Linked DNA regions of Caenorhabditis elegans. The protein of the gene in region 1 interacts with the protein of each later gene in a pairwise test. Each region holds a gene or a part of one and is shown in the gene's direction. Other genes may lie near its edges. The genes, in order: pdhk-2 and bmk-1.

Region 1 (6,269 bases):
TTACATGTGTGGTTCTGGTCAACCATTATTTCAGAAACATGCCGGATGTTTTGCAGAGGTACTGCCACAGTTTCACTTGTTATTCTGAAGATAGACACACTTTAGACACAACACTTTTAATCGTATATTATAAAAAATCACAAACTGGTTTAAAAAAAGTTGGTATAAACTAAGTACAGTATTCGGCAAAAGAAACTTTAGAATATTTCTAATTTGGAAAGAGTCTGGACAACTGTTTTAAAAAAATAACTGTCATAACTTGATCAATTGATTGGTTAAAAGAGTATCAGAAAGACAGTTGTCTAGAATTTTTCTACAATTTAAGTTTCTACTCTTTTGTGATTGACAACATTTTTGCATCTACAAATAATGTTGTGACACTCTTCGTCTTCTTCAACAAAGTTACAGTAATCAAATTTAAGGTCGAAGCCCAAAAAGAGTATATCAGCTGTAAGATAGCAGCCACTCAAGCAATTTCTGAAGCACAAGGAGCAAAAGTGAGTTCATTTTGTTTCATGTTTTGAGTAGATCAAGTATGAGATTCAGGGATCATCAACAGAAGCGTATTTGACTGAAATGTGTCGAGCGATGGATGGATATTTGAGATGTTCTCATCCAATTATTTTGGCAAAGTGTGGTTCCGATGCATGGACATTAGTTTCTACTGTATGTTTATCAAGGGCAAAATTGTTTTTTTAATTCTCAAAATTTGGCATTTCAAGATGTTTTTCTTTTTCTTAAAAAATTCTGATCTTTTTCGATCTAGTTAAGAAGAGTAATTTTTTCGAAAAACCAAGAAATTCCAAAAAGCGTTCCTACAACCATCATTAGTTTAAAAAAAAACATATTTTTGATCAGTTTGGCAGATTTCAAGTAATGATAAATGCACTGAATAAGTTTCAGATCTACTTTTTGCCAGATTAAAGTGCTCTAGGGCACGCCCCTAACGTTTTTGTTGGGTACTATTTGAAAATTGGTCATTTTCCAAATAAGATCAATAACTTTCCTTGTGCAAAAAATCCCGTATTATTGAAATATCAGCTAATTTCAGGTGACACGTGACAGTCTTGGTGTGACAATGCCCAATTGTGACATGCATTCTGCATTATTCTAATCTCTACAACGAGTAGTTCATTTTTTCTTCTCAACTTTCTGTATACTGGTTCTGGTTCACACACTTTTTCTGGCATTGCAATTTGTTTTTACTTACTTTAATTTATTTAAATCTTGTGAAATTTGAGGCGCAATAAATAAATATTCGTAATGTTAATTTGCAATATAATTCGTTGTTAACTCAAAAATACGGTACCCCGGTCTCGACACGACCCGAACCGACGCCTTTAACGAGTACAGTAGTAATCGACATTAAAAAAATTTAAAAAAAACTTTCGGTTACAAAAAAGCATTTATAATGGCAAAATAGTGAAGTAAGTCAGTGACATCAATAATTATTTTAAACTATTGTTTTTAACGCTGGCTTTTCTTCAAAAAGCTCAAATTCCCATATTTGTAATTTTAAACTACCGCCGTAAACTTGAATTGCGCAAGACACTGAATTGCGTCAGTGTCCGCCTTGGCGCATCCCTCGATTTTCATCGCATCGGCCGAACTCGAAGCGAGATGGGAGGAGGAGATTGCCGACGTGCAATTTATACTCTCTGTTTCACTTTTTTTCAATATTCCATAATTTTCTCAATGCGGCAGCGTAAACAACGTATTTCTCTTGATTGTCCCACTTTGTACTTTCTCGTTTTCATTTCAAAAATAGAAAAAAACAAATTAATTTTCAGATGCGCTTTTCGCGGAAGTTACTAGGCCCTTTCGTGGGTTCATTGGCCAAGAAACTCGATTATTATAGGTAATAATATTTGTTTCAGCTTTAAAAACCAGGAGATTATGAAAAGTATCGTTTTTAATATTGGAATCGATGGCCTTTGTTCTCTGCCCGGTCTGTTTGTTCCAGGGAAAACTAGTTTTTGTTTATTTTTAGCCGGCTAAGGCGTCGTTTTTTTTTTATTTTTCTGCACTGTTGAGTGAATTTTGATCTTGTTTCGATGAAAAATTCAATATAAAGTTATTTTTCAGTCAATTTCAACCTTCATCACTTACAATTCAACAATATTTGGATTTCGGTCGAATAGGAACATCAGCAAATTCATACACATTTTTGAAAAATGAGCTTCTCGTTCGTTTGGCGAATATTATGCAGGAATTCACACTTCTTCCACCAAAGCTTCTTCAAATGCCAAGTTCAAAAATGGTATCAAATTGGTATGCTGAGAGTTTCGAGGATCTTCTTTTGTTCGAGGCATCTGATTCATCTCCAGAGCAAGTTGCAAGGTAAGAGAAAAAATTGAATACCTAATTTACAAAAAAAAACTTGATTTTTTGGTTTTAAAAGTTTAGAAATACATTTTTAAAATATTAATGTTAATTTATGTTTTTCAGATTCAATGATCAGTTAACAGTCGTACTGAAAAGACACGCACATGTCGTCGAAACAATGGCTGAAGGATTGATTGAACTTCGAGAATCGGATGGAGTAGATATTGCAAGTGAAAAAGGAATTCAATATTTCTTGGATCGATTTTACATCAACAGAATTTCCATTCGTATGCTTCAAAATCAACATCTGGTAAGTTATTTTAAAAATTTTAATATTTTCAAATAAAACATTTTTTCCAGGTTGTATTCGGAAATGTTCTCCCAGAAAGTCCTCGTCATGTTGGATGTATTGATCCTGCCTGTGATGTGGAAAGTGTAGTGTACGATGCTTTTGAAAATGCTCGGTGAGTGCAAGTTGATGATAAAATTGCCTAGAAATTAAAGAAATAAGCCGATAAAAGTCCAAAGTTTCACCAGAAAATGTTCTAAAATTTTTTTTTTGAGATTGATGTTCAAGGCCCTCAGCAATACCTTCCATTTCTTCATTTTTTGCTTCTTTGCTAGAACTTCCGGCTCTTAATTCTTGCAGAAAATTGTGATAAATTAATTCTGAGTAAATTTTTCTCAAAAAATTTACGAAAAGTCAATAAATTTTAACAAAAATTTCCGTTGGACCGCTCTGGTCCTCATCAGGCCTTCTCAACTATACGAATGGCGTCTTTTGGGTTTTTGATAAGCTAGTTCTTCGCTGTCCGTCTGCGACGAAGATTGAATGTGCTGTGTCTCTGGGTGAGCACATAGTCGTCAGTTGTCATTTGAGCCTGAAAACATAGTTCATTCTCTCTACCACCACTGCCCATTCAACCTTTCTTCCGTGCAGGGAGTGTTCTTTGAGATGGAGAGGGATGACGTTTGATTTTTTAAAACGCGTGTGATTTCGGGCAAACCTGATCATTTCAAAGAACGAAAATATGAATTAGAGGGATAAGGAGGAAAATATGCAATTTTGATTTAGAAAATTTCCGTGGGAGTTTTATTCTGATCTTTTACAAAATTATCATAGAAAATTTGATTTGAGGGTTAAAAAAACACAAAAAAATTTTTAATGATTTTTTTCACTTTTGCAAAAATAAAGGAACGGCTGAAACTATTTCACCTGAAATTTAGCGACATGATTTTAATCGGAAAAACTTAAAAAAAAACAGAAAAAGCTAATATTTTCATATAATAATTTTTTGTTACAGATTTCTATGTGATCGATACTACTTGACAAGTCCATCAATGAAGCTTGAAATGCACAATGCCGTTGAAAAAGGAAAACCAATATCGATTGTCGCCGTACCAAGTCATCTCTATCACATGATGTTCGAACTGTTTAAGGTTAGCTATGAAGATACGAATTAAAAAAAAGACGACGCCTCTTCATCACTTCAATGTAACAAAGTGCCTTTTTGAACGCACACACTTCTTCCCCACGTGCTGTTGCAGTTTTGATACTAAAAAAACGATAGAAAAAGAGAGATAAGAGATGAAAATGATAAGAGAATTGGAAAAAGAGGAATTAAAAAAGGAAACGATTAAGTTGAAAGTAGAAAGAACAGAAAAATGTGTATGGAGGGGTTTTCAAATTCTCTTTTTTTTACAGAATGCAATGAGAGCGACAGTTGAATATCATGGAGTTGATGATGATCTTCCAGATATTAAAGTTTATGTAGTCAAAGGACAAGAGGATTTATCTATTAAGGTATTGAATTATTGATTGGTTTCGAAAATCAGTCGTATTTTATTTAAAATTACTGTACATTTTGGTGAGGTTCTGTGGATTTTTGCCCTAAATTACAGAAGACAGTCTCAATATACTGAGTATCATTTTTTTTAATTTAAAGAATTTTTTCTAAATTTTATGGAATTGTTTTACTTTTTAGAGATTGTAAAACATTTTTTAAACAATTTTTTAGAGTCTAAAAAATACTAAACTTTCTTTTAATTTTTTTGTCAAAAATTTTTTTTTTAAGTTACTGGAAAAATTCTAGCATATGTATATACAGTTATTGAAAAATTCGAATGTTTTATTTTAAAATAAAATTGGTTTTTTTTTGCAATTTTTGCCGCAGGTTTCAAATATTTTCTTTTACAGATTTGTGATCGTGGAGGAGGTGTATCCAGAACTATTCTCGAACGTCTCTACAACTACATGTACTCAACAGCTCCACCACCGCCACGTGATGGAACACAAGCTCCTTTGGTAAGTATTTTGAAAGTAAAAATAAACAAAAACAATGGACCAAAAATTTATATTTGTGAAAAACCAAAAAACAACAATAAAACCATTATAAATCACATTTTGTTTCAAAAAAAATTTCAAAGCCAATTTTTGATCAAGTTATAGAAGTTTTAAGAGTTTTTTTTTTGAAAAAAACCAGTATTTAAAAGTTTTCTAATTTTTCGAAAATAAGTTGAATTTTTAATAACTAGAGTCCAGATTCATACTGTATGGTTTATATTTTTAAAAATCGAGATTTTTAGGCTGGTTACGGATACGGACTGCCACTATCTCGACTATACGCTCGGTATTTCCTTGGTGACCTCTTTTTGGTTTCCATGGAAGGACATGGAACGGATGCATGTATCTACTTGAAAGCTGTACCAGTTGAGGCTAGTGAAGTACTCCCAATTTATAGTACTTCTTCGCGTCGAAATTTGACAATGGGACCACAAGTAGCTGATTGGTCGCATCATGTTCCTGGTCAAGGAAATCGTCCAGCTCAATCATGATCGTACTCGAGTTTTTTGTATTTATTGCTCTTTTTTTGTAAGTTGTGAATATATTCTAGCCATTCATTTTATTCGTCTTTTTACTTCTACTGTTCTCCGTTTCTGTCTATCCGGTGTCCATCAAATCCCGAGAATTCTGTTGTATATAAAACATTTCTAGCAAAATTATTTGTTTTCTTTCTGAAACTTCTTCTAGCTCTACTCTTTCTCGGACATTTTTTTTGTATATAATCGTTTGTAGGTGCGATGGGCTCTATTCTTCTTCTTTTTCTTCTCTCCCCGTATTTCACGAGTTCGTTGTGATTTGAAATCCCTCCCGAATTAGACTCACAACTTTGGAATAAATCATTCAAACTCATACATTTGAATTTGACAAGTTTGTGGAAAAAAGAAGAGAAGATTCTTCTTTCCATCTTTTTCTTCCATGACAAAACAATTTAATTTTCGCGCTGCGCACTCGGCGACGACTACTAGGATGAGAAGCTGACGATGTGCCATGGAAATCTTGGTGTTTTTGTGAGCGCCTTTTCACATTTGAATGCTTCCATGGAGTTCAATTGAGAACATAGATGTGCGGCACATTAAAAAATCTCCTTTTCTGGAAATTTATATAGAATTATCTGTACTTTTTGCTATCTTCAGAAAGTGCAAATATTTCTCTGTTTCTATACTTTTCTGTTTAGGCGCTTTCTTTGTTGTTTGAAATGTTTTTTTTTTAAATATTTTAAGCTACTATACGAGTTTTCAAATATTTTTTAAATAAAAATTATAACTTTTAAATTAATTGAAACTATTTCTTTGACGAAAAGTCCAGCTCTGAATTGATTCAAAAAACTTTAAAAAGCTACAAAAATGGCGCTGGCACAGAAAAGTGGGCGTGGTTTAGACATGCAAGAGTGCGGCGCAGTTTTTGTTGACTTTTTTCCTGTTATATTTTTTGTAATTTTTCATTTGTTTTCAGTTTCGAACGGTTGTTTTTCTGATTTATTCGGTTTCTTTTTTCGAAAAAAACGGTTAAAAATTCATAATTCTATCTAATATAATTTTTTATCTCTTTCTCACATTTATTCCTGCTTACTTCGCGTACACAGAATTTCCTATTAAAATTG
Region 2 (6,171 bases), on another chromosome or scaffold:
TCTTCCATTATGTGATGCATTTCTCTCTGAAAAGAAAAAAGCGGAATAATATTGTTTTCTCATCTTGATCGCATACTAATGGAATTTTATAATTGATCCCTTCTTCTGCTCCTTCGTTCTCAGACGTTTGTTTCTTTGTAGCACTAAGAGGAACTTTGGGAATTCTTATTGGAATCGAAACTTCGTCATCTAGATCCATGTTTTCCGAGACAAGTCGTGGAACATCCATTTGTTGTGGCGGAATAAACTCGGTGTTCTGAAAATGATCATTCGGTTTTTAAAGACTTTAAATATTATACATACGATTCCAGAGTTCCTCGCTTCCTCCATTTCTTCTTCCATGCTTCTTCTTCTCTCAGTTTCGTCTAGTGTGATGGGGAGTTGGCGGAAAAGAAGCATTTCCTTCAGGTGTGTGGCTGGTTGAAATTCCTCTTCTATAAATAAAAAACAATATTTCTACAATTCATTTTTAATCATCAACCTTGTGGAATAGATTTGGTAGGTGTCATGAGCTGGCTCCGGATAAAGTCATCAGATGGGCGTTGAAAATCAGTCTCCAAATTCAGATTATGAACATTTTGACGGCAATCGTTGGAGGAATATCGATCGATGAATGTTCTGAAATATTCTATATATATTGCAAACAATATAAGGAGAGAACTTACAAATCAATCGCTGTGTTCCGATTTTCTGATTCCAACATCCCGTACATCATTTCAAGTTGTTCCATTGTTGGTGCAGCCAAATCGTCTTCAACGTTAATTTGGTCGTTCTTGTGAAGACTGAGAACATCTGGCATTGTAATGTTTTGTTTTAGAGCCACACTCTGTAATAGATTTTATTTTAATTTTGATTTTTGAAACATTTAGACTTACGATCGGGGTAGGAGTGAGAGGAAATTCCTCAACCATCGTTCTTCTCTTCTTCTTTGGTGTTTTAGAGTTGTCACCTTCCATCTGTTCACGAGTTTTTCGTTTCCTCTCATCTTCTTCCGCGAGGTACGAAGTGAATGCGACGATCTCTCGAGCACGAATTGCATCTTCTGTAATATTTGTTAAAGTGATAATTTAAATACTGGCAACGTACGAAGAAGTCGAGCAACTTGAGTACTGAGAACTATGGTGTTTCCGTACACCAAATTACACGCAATGGAGAGAGATCTTCTGTTTTTCCTCTCGTTACTGAGAATCCACTGAATGAGCTTGCTTGCTTGAAGAACATCGTGTCTGAAGCACTCACGACGATTTGATTGCAAGCCGAGTTTCTTGTGAGAACCAAAAACTATTCCTCTGCAAGAAAAAATTTATTAATCCGGCATAAAATACTTTTTATTACAATAGGAACTTCACAGTCGCTTCCTCCGACGCTTTGAGCGGTACATCGATGCTTATCACCATGCTGATTGTTACCTTTCTTACCCGTTTGACTTTCTGCAATTTTTAACTGCAAAGATGTTTAATGCAGATACTCGAAAGAAACGAAAAAATGATAAAAAAGTGAAAAACCCCAAAAATAAATTTGAAAACTCCGCGTAAGCTTGCTCGATCGCTGCGAGACCATTGCATACCGTACTACTTCTTTAAAGGCGCACACATCAAATCTAGCTGTTTCGTGACAGGACCCAGCAATGTTCAGCCGCGAAGTTTTGAATCGCCATTTTTTTTTAATTTCTAGAATGTTTATAGTTTTGCTTTCGATGAGATTTTTAAGCATTATGAGGAACAAATTTTTTTAAAAACTTTAGAAGTTTTAAAATTTAATTTTGCGATTATGCTTTGCTTTCGCGTGTCCTTTCCGTTGTTCCTCGCTCCAAATATATCACAGTAATTAACCACTACTTATGTAGTTATCACGTTTCTAAAAATATAAATTCATTTTTATTTCTCTATTGATTCGGTTTGTTGCTCTTCTTGTCTCAATCTTGTGCTACTGCCGAATACCCTGCTAATTTTTCGTTTTCAGTCATTCGATTCACTTGGGTTGTTGTTTAAAATGGTAAGATTTTTGCAGGTTACTTTCTTTCCCATGAGGTAAATGCATTTATTGCGGGTGCGCTCTATCGCACGACGCCGCGAATCATTGTATTTCAAATTGATTTTCCTGTTGCACTTTTATTAGTTACAATTTTTATTAGTTATTTTTAGTTGGATTCGACAATGGCATCCCGCAAGAAGCACTCCGAGCCCACGTCCAATTTGCGAGTCGCTGTTCGTATTCGGTGAGTTTTAAACTTATTTTTACTTCAGTTAAATATGCCCCTTTTATAGGCCAATGAATGGCACCGAGCGCAGTGAAAAGTGCACCAACGTTGTGAAAGTGGACAAAGGAAAACAAGCTATCGAGTTGAAGGGAAAGTCATTTGGCCCATTTTTCCGGACCTATGACCCAGACACGACTCAGGAAGAAATCTACTCGGACCTCGTGTCATCACAAATTAAGAAGGTTATCGCAGGATTTAATTGCACAGTTTTTGCGTTAGTAGACAGGACGGTTCAATAATATTCAATATAATAGTAATTTTCAGCTATGGACAAACTGGAACCGGAAAAACGTTCACAATGGAAGGAGGGAGAACAGACGCAAAAAGCTCAACTGATGACCCTACGACTGGAATCATACCTCGTGCCGTTGAGGATATTTTCGAGCAGTTGGAAAGATGCGGCTGTGAGGAGTATTCGCTTCGAGTCAGTTACATCGAACTCTACAATGAAGAACTGTTCGATCTCTTGGCTTCGACGGATAATGAAGATCGTGAACGCCTTCGCATTTTTGATGATCCAAACAAGAAGGGAGTAATCGTTTCGGGCGTGGAAGAAGTGCCTGTGCGAAATCGTTCAGATGTCTTCAAACTTCTACAGTTGGGTGCTGAGAAAAGACGAACGGCGGCCACTTTGATGAACATGCACAGTAGCAGATCTCACAGTCTCTTCATGGTCAATGTCGTCATTCGGGAGAATACAACCACTGGCGAGGAACTGGTGAAGCAAGGAAAGCTTAATCTCGTTGACTTGGCTGGTTCTGAAAATATCGGACGATCAGGAGCACAAGGAAATCGTGCTAAAGAGGCTGGTTCCATTAACCAATCGCTTCTGACGCTGGGAAGAGTAATTCGTTTACTGACAACCAATGGCCAGCATATTCCATACAGAGAGTCGAAGTTAACTCGTCTTCTACAGGACAGCCTCGGTGGATCTACAATCACTTCTTTGATTGCTACGCTATCTCCTTCAAGCTCCAATTTCGAGGAAAGTCAGAGTACTTTGGAATATGCTATGAGAGCGGCCAATATCAAGAATAAGCCAGTCTGCAACACAAAATTATCAAAGAAGACTATCCTCAAAGAGTATTCGGACGAAATTGAGAAGCTGCGAAGAGACTTGAGAGCTGCAAGAGAAAAAAATGGTGTTATTATCAGCCAAGAATCGCATGATGAGTTCCAAAAGAATTCGGAAAAAGTTCAGGAGCTCGAACAACATTTGGATAATGCTGTGGATCGTTTGCGAATTTTCACTGAAGATCAGATGCACATGGATGAGCAGTATAGACAGTTGTACGAGAGAAAAGGAGAACTCGAGGATCGTCTGAGAGATCGAATTCGCGAAATGGCTGTCAAAGAGAAAGAACTCGCAGATACTAACGATGTGCTCAACAAGCATATCGAAGTTATCGGTTTGATGCACACATCAGCACTGAAGGCATTCGATCAACTTACAACATCTCAAGGAGCAGCTGATGAAATGCAGACTGATCTTCGTGCATTTTGGCGAAAAGTTGATGAGATGGAAAGAGCTGACGACAGGAATAAAATCGTCATTGACCACTTCTCGAAAAAGGTAATATTAGGATTATCTCATTCTTAGTTAGATGTTTTTTTTCAGATGAGTGATTTCATCGACACGACCTCAAAGCTGACGAACTCGCTGAAAGCTGATGGTGATCTGTTATCAAAGAAGTTGTCGGAAAATATTTGCCCTCATGTCAAATCAATGGAATCTGCTCATCGAGACATTGAGAGTACGGCAATGGATATGGAGACACATGCCATATGCATAATGAAGAAATCGTCGGAAGCGGAGAAGAAAGTCATCGACAACATGACTGCCATATCGATGGAAAATCGAATCAGATTGGAAACAGTCATGAAGACGTGTGATGATTTTTACAAGTCATACTCGGCCAAATCTCAAGAATTCACTCAGATGGTAGTTGACAAATTGGATGAGGTGAAGAAACAAGTATCCGACTTCACAGAAGATATGAAACCATTGGTATCTACTCTCCATCAAACCACATGTGATAGCTACGAAGCACGAACGAATGAAAGTAAGAAGAATGTGGAGCATGTGAGAGCTGCCTGTTCTTCGATGGCTGATTCCATGAAGGCATTGATGTTGCAAGTTGAGCAGCTGTCGACGAAAGTTGCGGAGAATCATGAAAAGTAAGTTTTGCAAGCGGACTTTTTCTGATAATTGTTTTCAGACCATTATAGTTGTTGTGAGATCATGTTTTGATAATTTATTTTTCAGGCAAGTAATTGCGGATCAGAACAACCAAGAAACAATTCTGGATACTCTAAACACAGCAGAAACCGTAGTTCAATCACTCGAAGACAACATTGTGGAGACTTGCGATGTGAAACAAGAAATGGACGACACGAAAAAGACTCTGAAGCAGACTGATGCAAAACAGGAGAACCACATTCAAGTTGAAAAGGAACGAGCGGAGGAAAAGGAAAATGAAGTCAAGGTTCGCAGCAAATTTTTATTTTATCCATTTATACAAATCGATTTCTCGAAGTTGTTCTATTTTCATAAACCCAAATATTGTTCAATCGCGCAAGATAATACATTGTTTTCAGGTCGCTCTCAAGTCATTTTCGGATGAGGCTGAAGCTACGCGTGGAGAGGCAAGGGAGTTTTCGAACACCTTGAAAAGCAGGTTCTCGGCAACCAGTGAAAAGTGCAAAGTAACTGGCGAGCTGGTTTCGGATTGCACCAAGAAAGCAACAGACGAATTGGTTAGTTTTTCCGTGAAATGTGTCTCAATAATGTGATTTATCTTTCAGAGTTCGCTCCTCGATGAATTCACGAAATCGACTATTGTCGTGACAAAGGAGTCGGCCGCCGTTGTCAATTCTGTTGTTCTGGTTCACGTGGACCCATCAGGTTGGTTATCATAAAAAATAACCATCAAGAAAATTATTTTTTCAGTGAATGTCCCACAAAGAATTCTTCCATCGTTCCCACTCGTCTCGGAGTTGAATCAGCCAGTCGAACCCGAAGTTCTTCTTGGATTTGGAGAAGGAAATGACGACTTTGACACCGATGAACTTGCCACAAAGAAGCGTCGTGTCACATCCTTCGTCCGCCGAGACAGTCTTCTCGAAACTACGAACAATTTCCTCAGTCCTTCGTCGATTATAAAGAGAAGAGAACAAGCAATCGAAGAAGAAGAAGATTTCGAAAACTAACGCACACACCAACTCGTTCCATGTCAAATATTTTCTCATTTCTTTAATGTATTCCGCTAATTTTTCTCGTGAAATTCAATAAATTTCTTTGTATTTTAATGACCGGCGTTTTAAACAAATCATGGAAAGCAATTTTCAACAGGTTTCGGTGATATTTCATTATCACACTCATTTAAGATTCAGCACAAAACTATTAGTTCATTTTTCAGAGCTACAGTAACCCTCTGGAATAAAAATGAGCTATAGATCAAATTATCACAGGGATCTTGGAAACATGAAATGAAGTTACAAATTTTACTGAATTCTAGGTTTTTTGCGTTTTTTAGCGCGCTCTAATTTCAAAAAAACTGGCTCACTACGAAAATCTATCAGGTTACTGTAGTTTCGGCTGAAATAGTCTCAGCGAAGTCTCAGTAAATAGAAGTAATTTCAAGGATAACATTTATTCCGTCAACATGATAAAATATACGAAAACAAAATTCAAAAAAAAACAACAGAGAAAAACAAATAACAATTAATGAATCCAAAAGCTTTAACGCTTTCTGAACTTTTTGGCTCCACCTCTCTTGAAACCTCCAGTCGATCCTCTCTTCTTTCCACCTTTCTTCTTTCCACGTTTGCCATCGTCCTCTTCCAAATCTTCCAACATTTCTGCGAATTTATCTCCGGCCATTTCGTAATCATTAGCTCCGATTTCTTCA

The links.
Region 2: the proteins of pdhk-2 (region 1) and bmk-1 interact in a two-hybrid assay, tested with the Caenorhabditis elegans proteins (one large-scale study listed by BioGRID).

Annotation. Positions count from the first base shown.
Region 1 is NC_003281.10:8,736,934-8,743,202, reverse strand, and holds pdhk-2 (putative [pyruvate dehydrogenase (acetyl-transferring)] kinase, mitochondrial), read left to right. Parts: upstream 1-1,790; coding exon 1,791-1,858; intron 1,859-2,085; coding exon 2,086-2,340; intron 2,341-2,448; coding exon 2,449-2,635; intron 2,636-2,685; coding exon 2,686-2,789; intron 2,790-3,629; coding exon 3,630-3,765; intron 3,766-4,030; coding exon 4,031-4,129; intron 4,130-4,522; coding exon 4,523-4,630; intron 4,631-4,911; coding exon 4,912-5,160; 3' UTR 5,161-5,517; downstream 5,518-6,269. Other genes in the region: nssp-33 (DUF19 domain-containing protein), read left to right, coding at 1-58, 423-497, 547-666, 1,052-1,114. UniProt on the Caenorhabditis elegans protein: Inhibits the mitochondrial pyruvate dehydrogenase complex by phosphorylation of the E1 alpha subunit, thus contributing to the regulation of glucose metabolism. Required for normal lifespan.
Region 2 is NC_003283.11:14,452,701-14,458,871, reverse strand, and holds bmk-1 (Kinesin-like protein), read left to right. Parts: upstream 1-1,887; 5' UTR 1,888-1,992; coding exon 1,993-1,995; intron 1,996-2,144; coding exon 2,145-2,218; intron 2,219-2,267; coding exon 2,268-2,474; intron 2,475-2,524; coding exon 2,525-3,833; intron 3,834-3,878; coding exon 3,879-4,438; intron 4,439-4,526; coding exon 4,527-4,746; intron 4,747-4,858; coding exon 4,859-5,017; intron 5,018-5,065; coding exon 5,066-5,165; intron 5,166-5,210; coding exon 5,211-5,470; 3' UTR 5,471-5,570; downstream 5,571-6,171. Other genes in the region: coh-3 (Rad21/Rec8-like protein C-terminal eukaryotic domain-containing protein), read right to left, coding at 1-26, 77-256, 304-434, 482-618, 666-826, 876-1,042, 1,087-1,289, 1,336-1,397; F23B12.7 (uncharacterized protein), read right to left, coding at 6,003-6,171.